4 linked regions of the Sus scrofa genome follow. The protein of the gene in region 3 purifies or fractionates together with the protein of the main gene of each other region. This does not show direct contact. Links are inferred from orthologs where the notes say so. Each region holds a gene or a part of one and is shown on either strand. Other genes may lie near its edges.

Region 1 (4,046 bases), about 87 Mb from region 3:
CATGTAACTGACTTTGTTGTCACGTCCACCACTCTGCAGATTAAAAAAAAAAAAAAAATCAAAGAACAAAAAATAAAGCTCATTTGATATGATTTTAAAGAGACTAAAAAGATACAGTGGACAAATGTAATGCATGTGCTAAACAGGATCCTGAATAAAAAGTGAATGAATTAAAAGACACATTTGAAACGACTGGGGAAAATTTGCTTATGGACTAGAAGCTATTAGGTGATGTTAGAGAATTAATGCTGGTTTTCTTAGGTCTGAATATGATGTTGTGGTTACGTTAGTGGATGTTTTTATTTTTAAGAGTTATATGCCGCAACATGCTGAAATATCTGGGGATGAAGTGTCCTTTCTACAACCCACTTTCAAATGATCCAGAAAAAACTAAAGCCTCCCACGTCCAGAAAGAGAAAGCAATAAGGCAAAATGGAAACAACCACTGAATCCCAGGTGGTGGGTGAAGACTGTAGGATTCTTTTGTTTTTCTGTTTGTTGAAAACTTTATTTATTTATTTTTTTGCTTTTGCTTTTTAGGGTTGCACCTGTAGCATATGGAGTTTCCCCGGCTAGGGGTCAAATCAGATCTCCAGCTGCTGGCCTGCCCCACAGACACAGCAATGCCAGACCCCAGCGGTGTCTGTGATCTACACGGCAACGCTGGATCCTTAACGCATTGAGCAAGGTCAGGGATGGAACCCACATCCTCATGGATACTAGTCGTTACTGCTGAGTCACAAGGGGAACTCCGAAAACATTATTAACAAAAATTGGGAGAGGAAAGTTCTAGCTGGGCAGTTTTAGGAACCGTATAACCTTGGACATTCTCCTTGCCTCTCAGACCTTGATCTCAAGAGAACCTCACACTGTCCTTTGCATTTTAAGTGTTAATCACGTGGTCCAGGGGCCCAGGGGCTGTGGAGTTACCGACGTCAGTGTCATTACCAGCGCGGTGTCCCGTATATAGGTGATGAGTGCTGGGGTAGGGTGAGGCGCCTCTTAAGAGGCCACCAAACCCGCCCGCCCTAGATGCTAAAAGTACAACTTCTCCCCGCGCGACCGCAGGACCGGAAGCGGGGGCGGGGCTTACGGTGGCCTGGCGTGGGATCCCGAAGGCTCGAATGAGCGCCTCCTCTCGGAGGTTGGGGGCGGAGTCTCTGTCCTACTGGCCAATCGTGGAGCAGCTGTCAAACAGGCGCAGAGGGAAGCCAGGAAGATTCCTGGTCAGATTCCAGCGCCCGGCCCTAGGCAGCAGCGGAGGGCGCTCTCTCTTCCGGGGAATGGGCCGCCACGTCCCGCCCGGCCTTTTCCTCTCCGGGACCCAGGCGAGAGAGGAGGCCCTGCCTACCAGAAGCCAGGCCCCGCTGCCTCCTCCCGGCTTGACCTCCCCGCAGAGTCACGTAGCCTTCTGCCCCTGCTTCCTCCTTTGTAAAGCGAGAGCGGTAAAAACCCGACCTGGGGGGGAGGGGATGGGACCTCCCAAATGACTCAGAGGTGGGAGGAGGTGAAGGAGAGGATGGCGACTTTTCCCCCTGCCTCGTGGCAGTTCAACCGAAAAAGAAGTCACGGTTTCTGGCTAGTTCACCGAGTTATACTTTATGGTTCCTGTACACACGGAATATAACAGGAGCTAAAAAGCACATGGTGCCTGGAACAGCAACCCAAAGGAGGACTTCAGGTATTAATTACCCGACATTGAGGATTAGAGAAGGACAGAGAATCACTGATAATTGCGATCGTTTTATGGTGGCTGATAAAACCATCACACCTCTATCAATAAAAATATCCATTTTCTGAAAGTGCATGCTGAAGTAAGGGGAAATCGACAATGTCTGTGAGCTGCTTTAAAACAGATAGACCAGAGTCTTAGTTGTTTTGTCTAAGAGATGCGAAGCTCTTTTTTTTTGCTTTTTAGGGCCGTACCCGTGGCATATGGAGGGTCCCAGGCCAGGGGTCTAATTGGAGCTGCTGCAGCTGCCGGCCGACACCACAGCCACAGCAACGCAGGATCCAAGCCACGTCTGGGGACCTACACCACAGCTCATCGCAGCGCCAGATCCTTACCCTACTGAGCGAGGCCAGGGATCGAACCCGTGTCCTTATGGATACTAGTCGGGTTCGTTACCAGGGAGCCACGATGGGAACTCCTTAACACTGCTTCCTCTGCAATCATTTCTTGAATTTTGCCACATTCAGGGCAAAATCTATGGCAAATCTGAAAGATCATGTACAAAGTAAAATGGACACTTTTACTTAGTTCGAATCCCCCCCTCCCCCATGGAGGTTTTCAACCCCCTCTCCAGGATCTTGGATGCCCAATAAGCAGTACATGAATTTCTAGTTCTTCAAGCACACACTGGACTCTTTCCCAGGAGGTTTTGCTTAGTTTGCCATTTTTAAAACAATATTGACACAGAGGACAGTGGTCTGAAAGCAGACACGATTTCAGCGGGAAACTGCACCAAAGGCCCTTCCTGTTAATGTGAAGGTTTCCAAAGAGCTTCCCATTTTACATGAATGGTCTCACTTAATCCTCTCATTTTCTTAGGAATCCCACAGGTTAGGTAGAGCTACCAGCGCACCAATTCTTTAAGTCGGGTGACCTGTCCTAGTGACACAGCAACTGCACCCCGGGACTCTGAAGCCAGCGGCCCTAAATGCTAGGCGCCACGGTCCCCGCTGAGCACCCCACACCTCAGGGACCTTGTACCCCTCCCCCAAGTACACGTATGTAAATCGTCGCAGCCATGGCGCTTCCCTCGCTGCCGGGGCCGTTTTACTGGCCTTTGCACCAACCTCATTTGCAAAACCTCTCGCCCAGAACCGCGAAACCGGTCCGAGAGACGTTTTCGGAGAGGTGGGGCTCTGTGGGGTGGGGTGTCAGCTCCCGCTCTCCGGCGCCTGGCGGGCTCCAATCGCGTTGTTTCATTCAATCCCAAACCGTCCGGCCCCAGCGAGTGCCCGCGCGCGCCAGGCCACCGAGACGCGCAGGGGCTGCAGCCTTTGTCCAGTGGGGCCCTCGGGGAGCCGGGCAGTGGCTCCCCCTGCCCACCCGGCGGCCCCCGGAGGCCTGGGAGGGGTCGGTCCCGAGGGTCCCCGGCGGGCAGGGGCGGCCTGAGATCCCGCGCGGCGCTTGAATCGCGAGGGGCGTGGCCAGCGGCGGCTCCGCCCAATGAGCGCTCAGGATGCTTTAAATTCCCCTGCGGGCCGGGCTGGGGCTCGCATCCCAGGACCTGCGCCTTCGCCTCACCTGCCCCTCCGCGCGTCGCCATGCTCTCCGTCCGCGTCCCTCTCGCCACCATCGCCGACCCGCAGCAGCTCCAGCTCTCGCCCCTGAAAGGGCTCAGCCTGGCGGACAAGGAGAACACTGTGAGCGCGCGGGCGCGGGGGCCGGGGGTCGGGACGGGGCGGTGGGGTCCTGTGGGACGCGGGCGGGCCCCTCACCACGCGTCTCCCTGCAGCCCCCGACCCTCAGCGGGACCCGCGTGCTGGCCAGCAAGACCGCCAGGAGGATCTTCCAGGAGCCCGCCGAGCCGGTGCGTAGGCGAACGGGGGGCGCCCGGAGAGGGGGCGCTGCAGGAAGGCGGAGCCGGGAGGAGCCTGCGCTTGGCGCCAAAGCCTCATTGTCTCCTTTCAAAGCCTGCCCCCACCCACCCGGGCCCGCTCTCCTTTCCCGCCAAGTCTCTTCCCGATCATTCACCCAGGGGGGGCATGGCCTATTTCCCCACATATAGTCCTGCTGTTTCGTGTATAGGCCACATACCTGACAGCGACCCTAGATTCAACCCCATGAAATTCCCGATCATTGGGTGTACGTGACCTGACTGGAAAAATGACAATTTCATCGTCTGCCCGCTCCTTAATGTTTTCACTGCTTTCCCCCCGACAGAACCCTAAGCTCTCGGCCCCCAGCGTGGAGGACGAGCCGCTCCTGAGAGAAAACCCCCGGCGCTTTGTCATCTTTCCTATAGAATACCATGACATCTGGCAGATGTATAAGAAGGCAGAGGCTTCCTTCTGGACAGCTGAGGAGGTAACTCCGT
Region 2 (4,270 bases), on a different chromosome or scaffold from region 3:
CCAGTTGGCAGTATTTTGTTATAGCAGCCCCAGGAAATTAATATAGGAGGTGTGAACTCTAGCTTGCAGACAATGTTATCAATTATGGAAGCACTATCACCTCTTGCTCTTTGAGCAAGAGTGTACTTTACTTCTGTGGTAAATTCAGAAAAACAGACTCATACCTAGAAATATTAAAGGCCTACTGAAAAGGCTTTAGAAAGTAAATATTAAAATATCAACATCTGGGGAGTTCCCATTGTGGCGCAGTGGAAACGAATCCAACTAGTATCCATGAGGATGCCAATTCAATTCCTGGCCTTGCTCAGTGGGTTAAGGATCTAGTGTTGCCGTGAGCTGTGGGTGTGGGTCGCAGACATGGCTTGGATCCAGTGTTGTTATGACTGTGGTGTAGGCTGGCAGCTGTAGCTCTGATTCGACCCCTAGCCTGGGAACTTCCATATGCGCAGGTGCAGCCCTAAAAAGAAAAAAAAATTACGGTCACTTTTGATGTTCATTTTCTGTTGAAGCTAATGATTTACTGTTCCACTTCTATGTATTTCCAATCTGCTTAAACAAATATTTGGATACATTAGTCACTATTACTCACTTGCCAAATCCTGAGTTCAGAATTTTGTGTTTTTTCTAAGATGAATATAAAACCACCTAAAAGTCAAGAAAAAATGTTCTGCCTTTGATAAGGAAAAATAAAAAGAACATTACAGTAAGGATACAGCCTTCACTAGAGCTATATGCATTCATGTGCAAAATTATTCAAATGAACCAAATTATTCTTAAACCATCACTATCAAATAATCAAACTCTGAGTTACTCTCAGAGTTCCCACAGTGGTTGGGTGAGTTACAAACACAACTAGTATCCCTGAGGATGCAGGTTCAATCCCTGGCCTCACTCATTGGGTTAAGGATCCGGCACCACCATGACCTGTGGCTCACTCGGGTTGCCCCGAGTTGGTGTAGTTGTGGTGTAGGTTGGCAGCTACAGCTCCAACTCCACCCCTAGCCTGGGAATTTCCATATGATGCAGATGTGGCATTAAAAAGACAAAGCAAGGGAGGAAGGGAGGAAGGAAGGAAAGAAAAGAAAGTTACTCTACCTGCACTGGCATTAATTTTATAAAGATGTCCAAACTCGTGGAGCAGTGTTCTCAAGTTTTTAATTAACACCGTCCTCTTTGAGAACCTTTTTCCATAAAAGACTTTGCTTTAGTACAGATAACCACTCCTCTTTGTAAGGTAGAAAGGAAGAATATTCTGTTCCTTTTTCCTGCCCCATACCTTATTTCTTCTCCTAGATGAAATGAAAAATTACTCCTGACAAGAGCAACAGAAAATTCTTATTGAGAAGTGTTTCTTTAACCTCGTATTTTCAGCTCTGCTAGGTACAGGGCCAGGAAAAGGCATACCGGATACATTCATTTGTATTAGCACATATTCTAACCGGGCCCAAATAACGTGCCAATTTTAAACAAGCTTCACCAACTTCAGAAACAAGGATTTTCCCCAGAATTTAAACGGGGGGATGAGTGAGAGGTTACAACAACCCAAATTACAAAATGAGATATTCCAGGGAGTTCCCGTCGTGGCTCAGTGGTTAAGGTCAGTGGTTAAGGAATCCGACTAGGAACCATGAGGTTTCGGGTTCCATCCCTGGCCTCGCTCAGTGAGTTAAGGATCTGGCGTTACCGTGAGCTGTGGTGTAGGTCGCAGACGCGGCTCGGATCCCGCGTTGCTGTGGCTCTTGCGTAGGCCAGTGGCTTACAGCTCCGATTGGACCCCTAGCCTGGGAACCTCCACATGCCGCGGGAGCGGCCCCAGAAAAGGTAAAAAAGGCAAAAAACAAAAACAAACAAAACAAAGAGATATTCCATAAAATTAAACAAGAACCGAATACAAACGCCTGACAGTATTATACTTTGTAACCCCACCACATTCCGCAAATTGCTTTCTCATAATTCCCTAAACTCTTTCATTCTAAATAAAAATTGTACAATGACTCCTTTGTGTGAAAAACAACGGTGAATTCAACCTAGAATCATCCGAGATTAAAGCGCCATTAGGTAACTATCAGGTCATACAAGGACAAAGCTGCTTACACCGATCTTAACAAAGTTTGAGAGGTGGAAGTGGGAACGCATGGATATAATAAAGATAAGCACGAGAAAGTGCGTGATACACAGAGTCAAACTAAAATCCCGGGATGGAGGTGGGTGACCTATTACCCAAATCTCAAGGTCAACAGGCCAGGAACACAAAATACTCAGAGCCGCAAGAAGCCTCAATTGATACCCGAACCTTAAGCCAAACAGGCGAGAAGCATAAATAAATCAATAAAACAAAGCTACTCTTCAAAAGATAAGCGGATGGCAGACGCAGAGAATGCCAGATACACACTCGCGTAGGTGCAATCGCTGGGTAACAAGCGGAAAGTACCAACTCAGCCAAGGCAAGGTACAGAGGTCAGTGGCGGGTCGGGGACTCAAGCGTGTGTAACACACCGCCAAAAGCAGGGGCGGCTGCCCTGGGGCAGCTCGGAGGTAAACCTCGCCCGGCCGAGGCCTGCGCCCGCGCGACTAAACTCCATGCGCTCCGTCTCTCGAAAGGGATAGGCCGCGCCACTTTCTGCTCATTCCTCCGTCGCTAGCCTTCTAGGCTTACCTCGCACTGGCCAGAAGAAGCACTCGAGCGCCCGGGGGCCGCCCGCCCCCCGGCCCAAAGGCCAGCGAGCTGCGACGTGCCTCACTCCGCCATCTTTGCTCCTTCTCAAGTCCGCCAACCCTGCGGTGGCCGTCTCCACTTGCCCCGCCTCTTCCGCTGACGCTAAGTACGGGTTGAGTTACGCCTCACGCAGGCGCACTCTTCTTCCGTTGTAGATTGGTTGGAATGTACGTCAATCAATAGCTCTTGACCCACTGTTTTCGTCCCTCTAGTAACGTTTGGTCTGAGAGTAGTAATGGCGGGGGAATACCTTTCGTAATTCATTTGTTAGGAATGTAAAATTATTTCCGCGTAGAAGCAGTGTCACGTCGTGGTAAGGCAGTCTGGGTAGGCCCCATGACTTTTTTTTCTTAAGTTTATTTGTCATTTGTCTTTCTTGGGCCACACCCTTATGTGGAGGCATGTGGAGGTTCCCAGCTAGGGGTCGAATTGAAGCTGCAGTTGCTGGCCTACACCACAGCAACAGCTACGGGGATCCGAGCCGCGTCTGCAGCTACACCACAGTTCATGGCAATGCCAGATCCTTAACTCACTGAATGGGGTCAGGGATCGAACCCATGTCCTCATGGATACTAGTCCTTAACCACTGAGCCAGGACAGGAACTCCCGCATGACTATTTTAAGCCACCCTTAAACTATGCTACTAATAATTTCCTTCTCAGATCCAAGAGTTTTTAATACACTAGGTAAACAGTTTAATAGCTCCAGTTTGTCTCTTGACTTTGACCCATTTTGACTCAAAGAGCCCAAATGTCAAACTGCTGTTTACAGCTCTGGTTAATACAGGAGAGCAGATTCGCCACTTTTCTTTGAGCGCCATTCTGTAGAATGTCAAACTGTTAATAACTGACACTTTTGTTTCTTCTTAAACCCAGCTGCAGGGCTTTTGAGATTCTCCCTTCGTGATTCTCCCAGGAGAGGCAGGAGTGTCATTGGGAGCGCCTCTTCTGGTGAGCGACCAGCGGTGGGCGGTATAGGTCCTCAAACACCTTCAAGAGTGTCACCTGAGCAGCTTCTTAGAAGCAGAGATTCCTTATGGCAGCAGTTCCCACAGATTCAGTTCCAGGATCTGAATCCACTCAAACTGTTTCCAAAGTCTATGCTCTCAAATTCCAAGTTAAACCACCTAATTATGTCCTCTAGAAAAAATAATATAGAGCCATTCAATTACAGGTCTTTAGCTATCTGAATACCACAGATACTAAATATTTTAATATAGCTACTTTACTTTTTTTTTCTCTAGACCAAAGCCCCGGTTCCTATACTCACCCTATAGTAAGTTACCTTAAAGCTTTCACCTTTTTGTTTCTTGGGAATATGTCATTTCGGCAATGTCCTTCTAAAAGGCGATGGTCTTCAAACTTTTGATATCTTAAAATATGTCTCTCTTACTTGCCATCTCTCTTTTTGCCCTAAATACAGGAATTTACATTTATCTTTGTTTTTGTTTGGGTTTTTTTGGGGGTTTTATTTGTCTTTTTGTCTCCATCGCCCTCGGCATATGGAGGTTCCCAGGCTAGGGGTCTATTTGGAGCTGTTGCTGCCGTCCTACAC
Region 3 (3,560 bases):
CCTCGGGAGGAAGAATAAGGACAAAGGCCGGCTCTCGGCTCACCTGTGCTTCCCAGCAGCCTTTGGCAGCGAAGTCCCTGAGTTTCCGGAAGTTGTGGAGGCATCGCCCAGGATCCGACATCTGTCAACAGGAGAAAGTCACCATATCTTCATGCAGTCGTATCTCTGCAGAAACTCAGAACCCACTCTTGGGGTTCTCAACTGCTCCCCCTCCCCGCTGCCTCCGGAGGGTCCCCAGCAGGGCCTTCTTCCCAGCCCTTTATCCCCCAGGTGGCGGTGGTTGTCTTTGGGGCAGTGCTGAGAGCGGCCCAATGACCAGCAGCTCCTGGGGCCCCAGGAGGGACCCCCGCACTGACAGAACCCCGTCCAAGGGCTAATCTGGAGGCTGTGCCTCTGGCCAACACCAGTCACCCTCTCCCCAGACCTGGGCCCACTCACATCCATCCTTCTGTCACTTTCCCAGAGGAGGTACGAGCTGGTCAAACACCCCTGATGGGCAGACTCTTCAAACAGGTCCCGGGCCTGGTTCTGTTTCTCTTCATCCTGGAATAAGCACCTCTAAGTGACCCCACATACTGCCCTCACCTGCAGTAAAATGAGTTGCCTGCCCTGGAGTAGCAACAACTTCTCTGAGGATGCTCGACTTGGCGACCCGTGTGCCTGGAGCTCGGCCCTGGGTCCCGCCGCCTAGAGCTGGAGTTCAGCCCTCCTCCCCAGACTGCGACAGGGGCGCTTCTCAAGGCCCCTCCAGCTCCTTGCTTGCTCACCGTCCCCCGCTGCTCTCAGAGCACCTGTCACCAGAAGCCACCACCAGGCCAGGCTGCAGAGGTGGGGTTCCGTAATCACAAGGCTCGCTAAGCTTTCTCAAGGGCTGAGAGGTCCGTGTGAGGGGTGGGGGACCCACCAACAGCAGAGCGTGAAACAAACAGGCCTGGGGTCCTGCACGGCTCAGCCCCACAGGCAGAGCTCAGGCCCACAGCCAGAGCTTGCCTTGGCCCTGAACCCTGGAGGCCCCTTCTGCCGCCTCTCACATGCTCCCTGGTCCTCAGTACTTGCGAGCGGCACAGGAGCACAGGGCCGTCGCGCTCTGCGTGCTCGCCCAGCCAGGACGCCAAACGACACAGGCCCCAGTGGGATGGACGACCAGACTCACCTCGAAGAGGCTCAGGACTCTCCCGAGGCAGTGCAGTATAGACGCCCTGTGAGCCTGAAAGGAGACGGGAGTGTGAGGTCGGCGGAGACAACTTCCAGAGGGCTGCCCTCCGCCTGTGGATCCTTGGGCTCCCCGCCCAGCCCCTCCGCACAGATGGCCGCTCCCTGATCCCAGGCTTTGGCCCACTGCTGCCCGGAGCCCCAGTCCCGCCTTTCCAGCAGTCAGTCCAGCTGCAGACCAGCCCATCACCCAATGCCCCCGACCCTGGCTGGGAGGCCTTCCCCCGCTGCTGTGGTTTCCAGATGCTCCCACATCCGTGCTCGTTTCTGCGCCTCCACGGCCCTCGGTCTCCGACATGACCTGGGCACCAGCCTCTCCCCTCAGGTCTTCTCACCTCCTGGGACCCGGGACCCCGTGCCCCCCGACTCACTTTCTGCAGCTGGCACTCCGCCCTGAGGCTCTCGTGCACCACGGCCTTGCAGCAGCTTCCGGACACCGACCAAGGCGGGCGGATGAAGAGCCAGATGAAGGGCGCGCCACCCGCGTTCAGTCGCTCGGCAAGACTGAAGAAGCGGGAGGCCTTCAGGCCGTTCACTTCCGCTCGGGCCTCATCAGACACAGACACTGCAGACACAACAGAACAGCCCGGATGTCTCGGGAGGAGGGGAGGGTCCAGAGCCTTAAGCCGCTGCCACGCCGCTGGCGTTCTGGGACAGAGGAGCCGGCGCGAGAGCGCCTTGCTTCTCCTGTGCGCTGGGCGTGAAGTGCCCCGGCTGGGCCCCCCAGTGGCCTGGATCCTGGGGTCCAGGAGGGGCCATGGAGGTGCCCCAGCCCCACCCTCCCTCCTGTGGGAGCTGCTGCCCAGCCCTCTGCTCTTTTTGGGGAAATGAGCATATTCCAGAATTCGTGGTGATGGCTGCACAATGCTGTGAACATTCCAGCAACCACTGGCCTGCACCCTCTAGACGGGCGGGGCGGATAGTATGCGGGTCCAGCTGCCGGGGTGGCGGGGGAGCGGCCGAGGACCGCTGCGCTCCTGAGCCTGGAGCAGGACTGCTCATCGCCTCCAGGCACGACCGTCCTGTCAGCCAGCTGCGCGCAGGGCGGTCTCTCAGCGAGACGCCAGGTCTTTGCAGAAGCAGAAAAGTGGCAGCTAACCCCAAGTCTTTATGCATTTTGGGAGCTGGGACAGGACGAGCTGCAGACTTGTTCCTTAGGGTGCGAAGCAAACAGGCAGGACTCGGGCGAGAGGGCTGCACAAGGTTCTTTTAAGGAGTGCCTGCCCCTTGGGGGGTGAAGACCTGGGCACCAGGCTGGCTTCGACCTGCTTGGACTTGCTTCCTGCGTGGGGCCTTGGCCACCAGGGTTACTGACACCCGACCACTGCCCCAAGTTCCACAGAGGAGCTGCGGCCAAGGAGAGAAGCCAGGGTCCAGGCCTGGTGAGCAGAGGGCAGGCAGCCAGGAAAGGCTGGCTTGGCTGGACAGTCCCCATTCTGAGTCTCTGCTCAGAGTCCCTCTTTGTCAATCGAAATGAAGGTTTTGTTAAAATAAACCTAACCCTAACACCACACAAGATCAAAGTTCACCAGGGGGTCCCTGAGCGGGGCACCTCTGGGCACCAGCTGCGGCAGAGAGACCCAGCAGCAACAGCAACTGAAGCGCTGACCCGGCAGGGCTGGTGCTCATTCTAAAACACCCCGCCCGCCCCGCCGGCCCCCGGGACTCACAGCCTTCGTTATAGAGGTAGGCGATGCCCAGCTTCACAGCAGCTTCGAAATTCCCCTTTTCGGCAGCCCTAGACCATGAAGAACATAAGACATTGCGTGATTTTGTTCCGCCACAGCCCCTCAAACGACAATACCTGTTTTCTAGCAGAAAGCTCTGGTGTGGAGGTAAACATCCATGACCCGAGCCTCGCCACCCCCAGAGGCGCCCTGAGAACATGCTTAAGGGAAAGAAGACGGGCACGGGCGGCCACGTGGTGTATGATGACACTCATACGGAAATGCCCAGAACAGGACACTACAGAGACCGAAAGCAGACCAGTGGGTGCCCAGAGCCTGGGGTGTTATAAGGAAAACGGGGAGCGGCTGCTACAGGGCATGGGCTTCATCTGGGGGTAATGAGAGCGTCCTAACATTACTGTTGAGGACAGCACAACTCGGTGACTGTATCAAAGCCGCTGGCTCGTGCCCTTGGGTAAACTGAGTGGCTGGTGGACCACGTCTGAGGCAGCGTCCCGTGGGCCCCAACTCCAGCCGGCGGGGTGGGATCAGCCAGGGAGTATAATGCCAGGGGAGTCAAACCACACGGTTCTGATCAGGAGATGGCTGAGTAACGTCTCCACACGCAGATGACCTGCATCTGAGTCACGTGGGCTGGGTCACAGCCGGAGTGAGCTCTCC
Region 4 (4,324 bases), on a different chromosome or scaffold from region 3:
ATCTGCAGCCAACAGATCAAGAAATTACATTCTACCCCCCGCTGAAGCTGGTGCTATTAAAATTTTTCTTAATATATAAAAAATTTCAGAGTTCCCATTGTGGTGCAGCGGAAATGCATCCATCTAGGAACCATGAGATTTTGGGTTCAATCCCTGGCCTTGCTAAGTGGGCTAAGAATCCGGCATTGCCATGAGCTGTGGTGTAGGTTGCAGACAAGGCCCGGATACCGAGTTGCTGTGGCTATGGCATAGGCCAACAGCTGTAGCTTGGGTTGGACCCCTAGCCTGGGAACCTCCACATGCTGCCGGTATGGCCCTAAAAAGACAAAACGCACACACAAAAAAACTTCCTGGAGTTCCCGTCACGGCTCAGTGGAAACAAAAATCTGACTAGGATCCATGAGGATGCAGATTCGACCCCTGGCCTCAGTCAGTGGGTTTAGGATCTGGCGTTTGCACTGAGCTGTGGTGCAGGTCACAGATCTAGCATTGCTGTGGCTGTGGTGTAGGCTGGTGGCCACAGCTCTGAATCAAACCCTAGCCTGGGAACCTCCATATGCCTTGGGTGCAGTCCAAAAAGACAAAAAGAAAAAAAAATTAAAAAAAAAATTTGACTCGGTCTTAATTTCTAACCAAATAAGAGGACTTTGTTGCAATACTAAGTTATAATAAAACACACATATATATCAACTAGCACATTCCTACTGCTAAAATGTACTTATTTTCATGCCACACTTCTAAATCTAAATCGTCATATATCTTCATGCTGCTGCTGCTTTTTTTTTTTTTGGCCGTGCCTGGAGCATGTGGAAGTTCCCGGGCCAGGGATTGAACCTGCGCCACAGCAGTGGCCCAAGCCGCTTCAGTGACAAGGCAAGATCCTTAACCTGAACATCACTGATAAGAGACAGTGAAAATAACATGAGAACCAAAGACAGCACTAATTCAAAATCTGGGCTACTTCAATTGATATTCGTTTAAGGGGGAAAAAAATGATTAGCTGAATGAATGATGTAAGCCTGCAAGGACAAAAACGAAACCAAAGTCTGGGGGCACTTCAGAAGAATCTATTTACAACAATAGACTGATAACAACTGCAAAGCAAGTCTTAATAATTCCTTAAATTTGGCAACAGGCAACCTCAGTTCAAATAGTTTAAACCTGTACTTCAGAATCACTGCAAAACCAAACGGCAACAAACCTTTGGGATAGTTGACAACATATACCAGATTGCCCCAGCCAGCATCAGGGGCATGCAGAATTCCTTCTACCAGGCGGACACCTCTCATACACTGGGACACTGGATTCCTGTAGCGCAGCCCACACGCTCCTGGAAACTGGGCTGTAACCGTGGACAGCAACACTGTCCCATCGTCTTCTGATGGTATTTCAATGGGCTCGTCATTCTCATCTTCGGTTACCCGAATATATTCAGACATCTTTTCTTGTTTTTCTTAAAAGGAAAAGAGAAAGACGAATGACCAACACGTGTGTCATAGTAACTGTCTCTTTCCATCAGCTGATTAATACCCCTGCCAGGTCATTGTTCTACGACTTGCAGAAAAACTCTCGGTGCTGGGCTTCTTACACCTGTTGGTTATCGCCCCAAAATGGGGAGGTGAAAACAAGGGGGTGAAATGCCTTGCTAGTTCCATCACTGAGGATTCGACAAGTGCCTACTATGCATCGGGGGTTACAACTATTAACTCTGAAGCCACAGTCCCAGGTGGCAGGCTGGGTGCAAAGGGGAGAGAGGAAGCAAGAGAAAAACAGCAAACAAGTAATTACCTAATTACAATCGGGATATATGCTACCCGACAGAAAGAACGAACCTCGGGGGCTGGGGTGAGACTGGGCAGGGACACGCGTTGTCAAAGTAGAGTCTCCTGAGAAAGCGATGCAGGAGCCGAAACTTGAGGACTGAACAGGAGCGGCGAGCCAGGGGCAGAGAGCAGGGGAAAAGTTCCTCCCTGTCAAATGTGCGAACTTCCGACGGCTCTCCCAACTTGAGCCCTAAGGACGGCGGCGACAGGTCCTCGGCGACACGGGCCGCCACCTCCCAGAAGCCCGTGCGTGACGGCTGAGGGAGGAGTTTTTAAGCGTGGCCCGGGGTGGGACCGCCGGAGCATCAGGCCTAGACGTTGTCCTCCCGAGTGCAAAGCACGAAGGCACAAAGCAGGGCCCGGGCCGGGAAGCCAGGCCAAACCTCTGCCTCCGGCGGCTCGGCTCTGCGGGCCCAGCGTCTCTGCTTCGGCGCCGGCTGCCACCCTGCGCCAGACCCCTAACGTCGCTCCCGCGCGAGTCCGCTCCGCCAGGATCGAGGCGGGCCCGGCCCCACGGCTCCCTTCCCGGGACGGGGGCCGAAGCCGCCGCGTCCGCTTAGGCTGACCCACTATAGGGCGGAGGCACACAGGGCGTCCCAGTGAGAAGCGTCCGCCACTCACCTGCTAGGCCGCTGCTAGGAAGCCCGACAGGGAAACCGAAACAGCGAGGAATCCAAGAGCAGCCCAGCGACCACTTCGCTCCCACAAAATGGCGCTAGGGCCGCCTCCCCCCGCCTCTGGCCGTCGTCCCCTCCCACCGGCTCCCCGTCGAGAGGGGGGGATCGCCGCACAGAGCCACACAGCCCTCTCCCCAGAGAGTCAGGAACCCATCTGCGCGGTCTGAGCATACGAAACGGATACCACGGTTAAAAAGAAGGCTAGCATCTGGGCCTGAAGAGCTAATAATGGAAAAAATGTGGCTGCGCAGGCTTTTAGCTACCCCCACGTAGCGTAATAGATGGCTTCGCCCGACCAACCGCCGGCCCTGGGTCTCGGCCGGAGCTCGCGCATTTTAAAAGTGCGCGAGACTAACGCAAGGGCTGGGCCGGACCAGGGGGCGGGGTGGGAGGCGGGGCCACGAGGGGCGGGGCACCAAGGGGGCGTGTCCTGGGCCCTCTGGACCCTCCCGAGACTGGGGAGGGTAGGCGCGGCCAAGACCTTTCAAATCCAAAAAGCCGGGCAGATACATCCTCTCCAGTTTCCCCGAGCCTCTGCACCTGGAGAGAATAACTTTGGTTCTAAAAAATAGCAATAATAGCGGAGGTCCCGTAATGGCTCAGCGGAAACGAATCTGAATAGCATCCATGTGGACGCAGGTTCGATCCCTGGCCTCGCTCAGTGGGTTAAGGACCCAGCGTTGCTGTGGCTGTAGCGTAGGTCAGTGGCTCCAGCTCCAATGTGACCTCTAGCCCTGGAACCTCCATATGCCGCGCGTGCGGCCCTAAAAAGACAAAAAAAATCAAAATAATAGCAATATTAGCTCATACTATGTACTGAGAAGTTCCTAAGTCCTCACATATTTAATTGCCCCAACAGTCTCGTGTGGGCGTGGTAGGTGCATATACGGTGAGGGGAAACCGAGGCACAGAGAGGATCAATATCTTGCTAAATAAGGCCACGCAGGTAGTAAATGGTGAACCAGGGAGTTGACCCCTAACCTTAATGCCAACATATTCCAGCTAAAGTAACCTAGTGTACTTCATCTATTTGAAGACAAACTTTTTGTTTCACATTTCTGAAATCATTATGTGATTTCAGCTCCAGTTCCACTGATGATATGTCCTAGTTTAACTGGCAACAGTCTTAATTTCCCAGTGTACCAGGGTATCAGATTCAATGAAATGCAGTAATAGCAAAGTGCTCCATAGTTAATGCATTAACTCATTTAATTCTCACAATAACCCCATAAGGTAGGTGCCATTGTTATCATTCCTATTTTATTTTATTTCAATTTAAAAATTTGTTTGGCTGCCCTGTGGCATATGGGCCAGGGGTCATATCCAAGCTGCAGTTGTGACCTGTGCTGCAGGTGCAGCAACGCTGGATCCTTTAACCCACTGTGCCAGGCTGGGGGTCGAACTTGTACCCTGGTGCTGCAGAGATGCTGCCGATCCCACTGCAACACAATGGGAACTCCTCATTCCTGTTTTAAAGAGGGGGAAACTGAGGCCCAGAGGTTAAGTAACCTTGCCCGGGCTCACAGGGCTGGTAGATAGTGGAACTGGAATTTGAATCCTGGAAGTCTGGCTCTGGAGTGGGTGCCTCCTGCTTCTTACAGACTCACAGGGAATAAATATTAAGTCCTGCATATCCATCTCTGATGCCATTTTTTTGGGGGGGGAAGGATAAGGTTTTTTTTTTTTTTTGTCTTTTGTCTTTTGTCCTCTTAGGGCCACACCCACAGCATATGGGGGTTCCCAGGCTAGGGGTGTAATCGGAACTGTTGCTGCTGGCCTACATCACAGCCACAGCAACACAAGATCCGAGCTGTGTCTGCAACC

Evidence for each region.
Region 1: the proteins of CCNF (region 3) and RRM2 purify together in Homo sapiens (affinity purification with western blotting; 5 studies listed by BioGRID and IntAct, with this or other methods). This does not show direct contact. The link is inferred for Sus scrofa from reciprocal best matches to the Homo sapiens genes CCNF and RRM2.
Region 2: the proteins of CCNF (region 3) and NUSAP1 purify together in Homo sapiens (affinity purification with mass spectrometry; 3 studies listed by BioGRID, with this or other methods). This does not show direct contact. The link is inferred for Sus scrofa from reciprocal best matches to the Homo sapiens genes CCNF and NUSAP1.
Region 4: the proteins of CCNF (region 3) and TARDBP purify together in Homo sapiens (affinity purification with western blotting; 3 studies listed by BioGRID, with this or other methods). This does not show direct contact. The link is inferred for Sus scrofa from reciprocal best matches to the Homo sapiens genes CCNF and TARDBP.

The regions. Positions count from the first base shown.
Region 1 is NC_010445.4:126,364,341-126,368,386, reverse strand, and holds the start of RRM2 (ribonucleoside-diphosphate reductase subunit M2), read left to right. Parts: upstream 1-1,241; 5' UTR 1,242-1,445; intron 1,446-2,155; exon of another isoform or gene 2,156-3,233; 5' UTR 3,234-3,273; coding exon 3,274-3,372; intron 3,373-3,464; coding exon 3,465-3,539; intron 3,540-3,892; coding exon 3,893-4,036; intron 4,037-4,046. UniProt on the Homo sapiens protein: Provides the precursors necessary for DNA synthesis. Catalyzes the biosynthesis of deoxyribonucleotides from the corresponding ribonucleotides. Inhibits Wnt signaling.
Region 2 is NC_010443.5:130,062,837-130,067,106, forward strand, and holds the start of NUSAP1 (nucleolar and spindle-associated protein 1), read right to left. Parts: upstream 2,806-4,270; 5' UTR 2,657-2,805; intron 1-2,656. UniProt on the Homo sapiens protein: Microtubule-associated protein with the capacity to bundle and stabilize microtubules. May associate with chromosomes and promote the organization of mitotic spindle microtubules around them.
Region 3 is NC_010445.4:39,596,541-39,600,100, forward strand, and holds part of CCNF (cyclin-F), read right to left. Parts: intron 2,951-3,560; coding exon 2,883-2,950; intron 1,778-2,882; coding exon 1,584-1,777; intron 1,208-1,583; coding exon 1,154-1,207; intron 544-1,153; coding exon 439-543; intron 122-438; coding exon 44-121; intron 1-43. UniProt on the Homo sapiens protein: Substrate recognition component of a SCF (SKP1-CUL1-F-box protein) E3 ubiquitin-protein ligase complex which mediates the ubiquitination and subsequent proteasomal degradation of target proteins.
Region 4 is NC_010448.4:71,212,065-71,216,388, reverse strand, and holds the start of TARDBP (TAR DNA-binding protein 43), read right to left. Parts: upstream 2,806-4,324; 5' UTR 2,445-2,805; intron 1,454-2,444; 5' UTR 1,440-1,453; coding exon 1,202-1,439; intron 1-1,201. UniProt on the Homo sapiens protein: RNA-binding protein that is involved in various steps of RNA biogenesis and processing.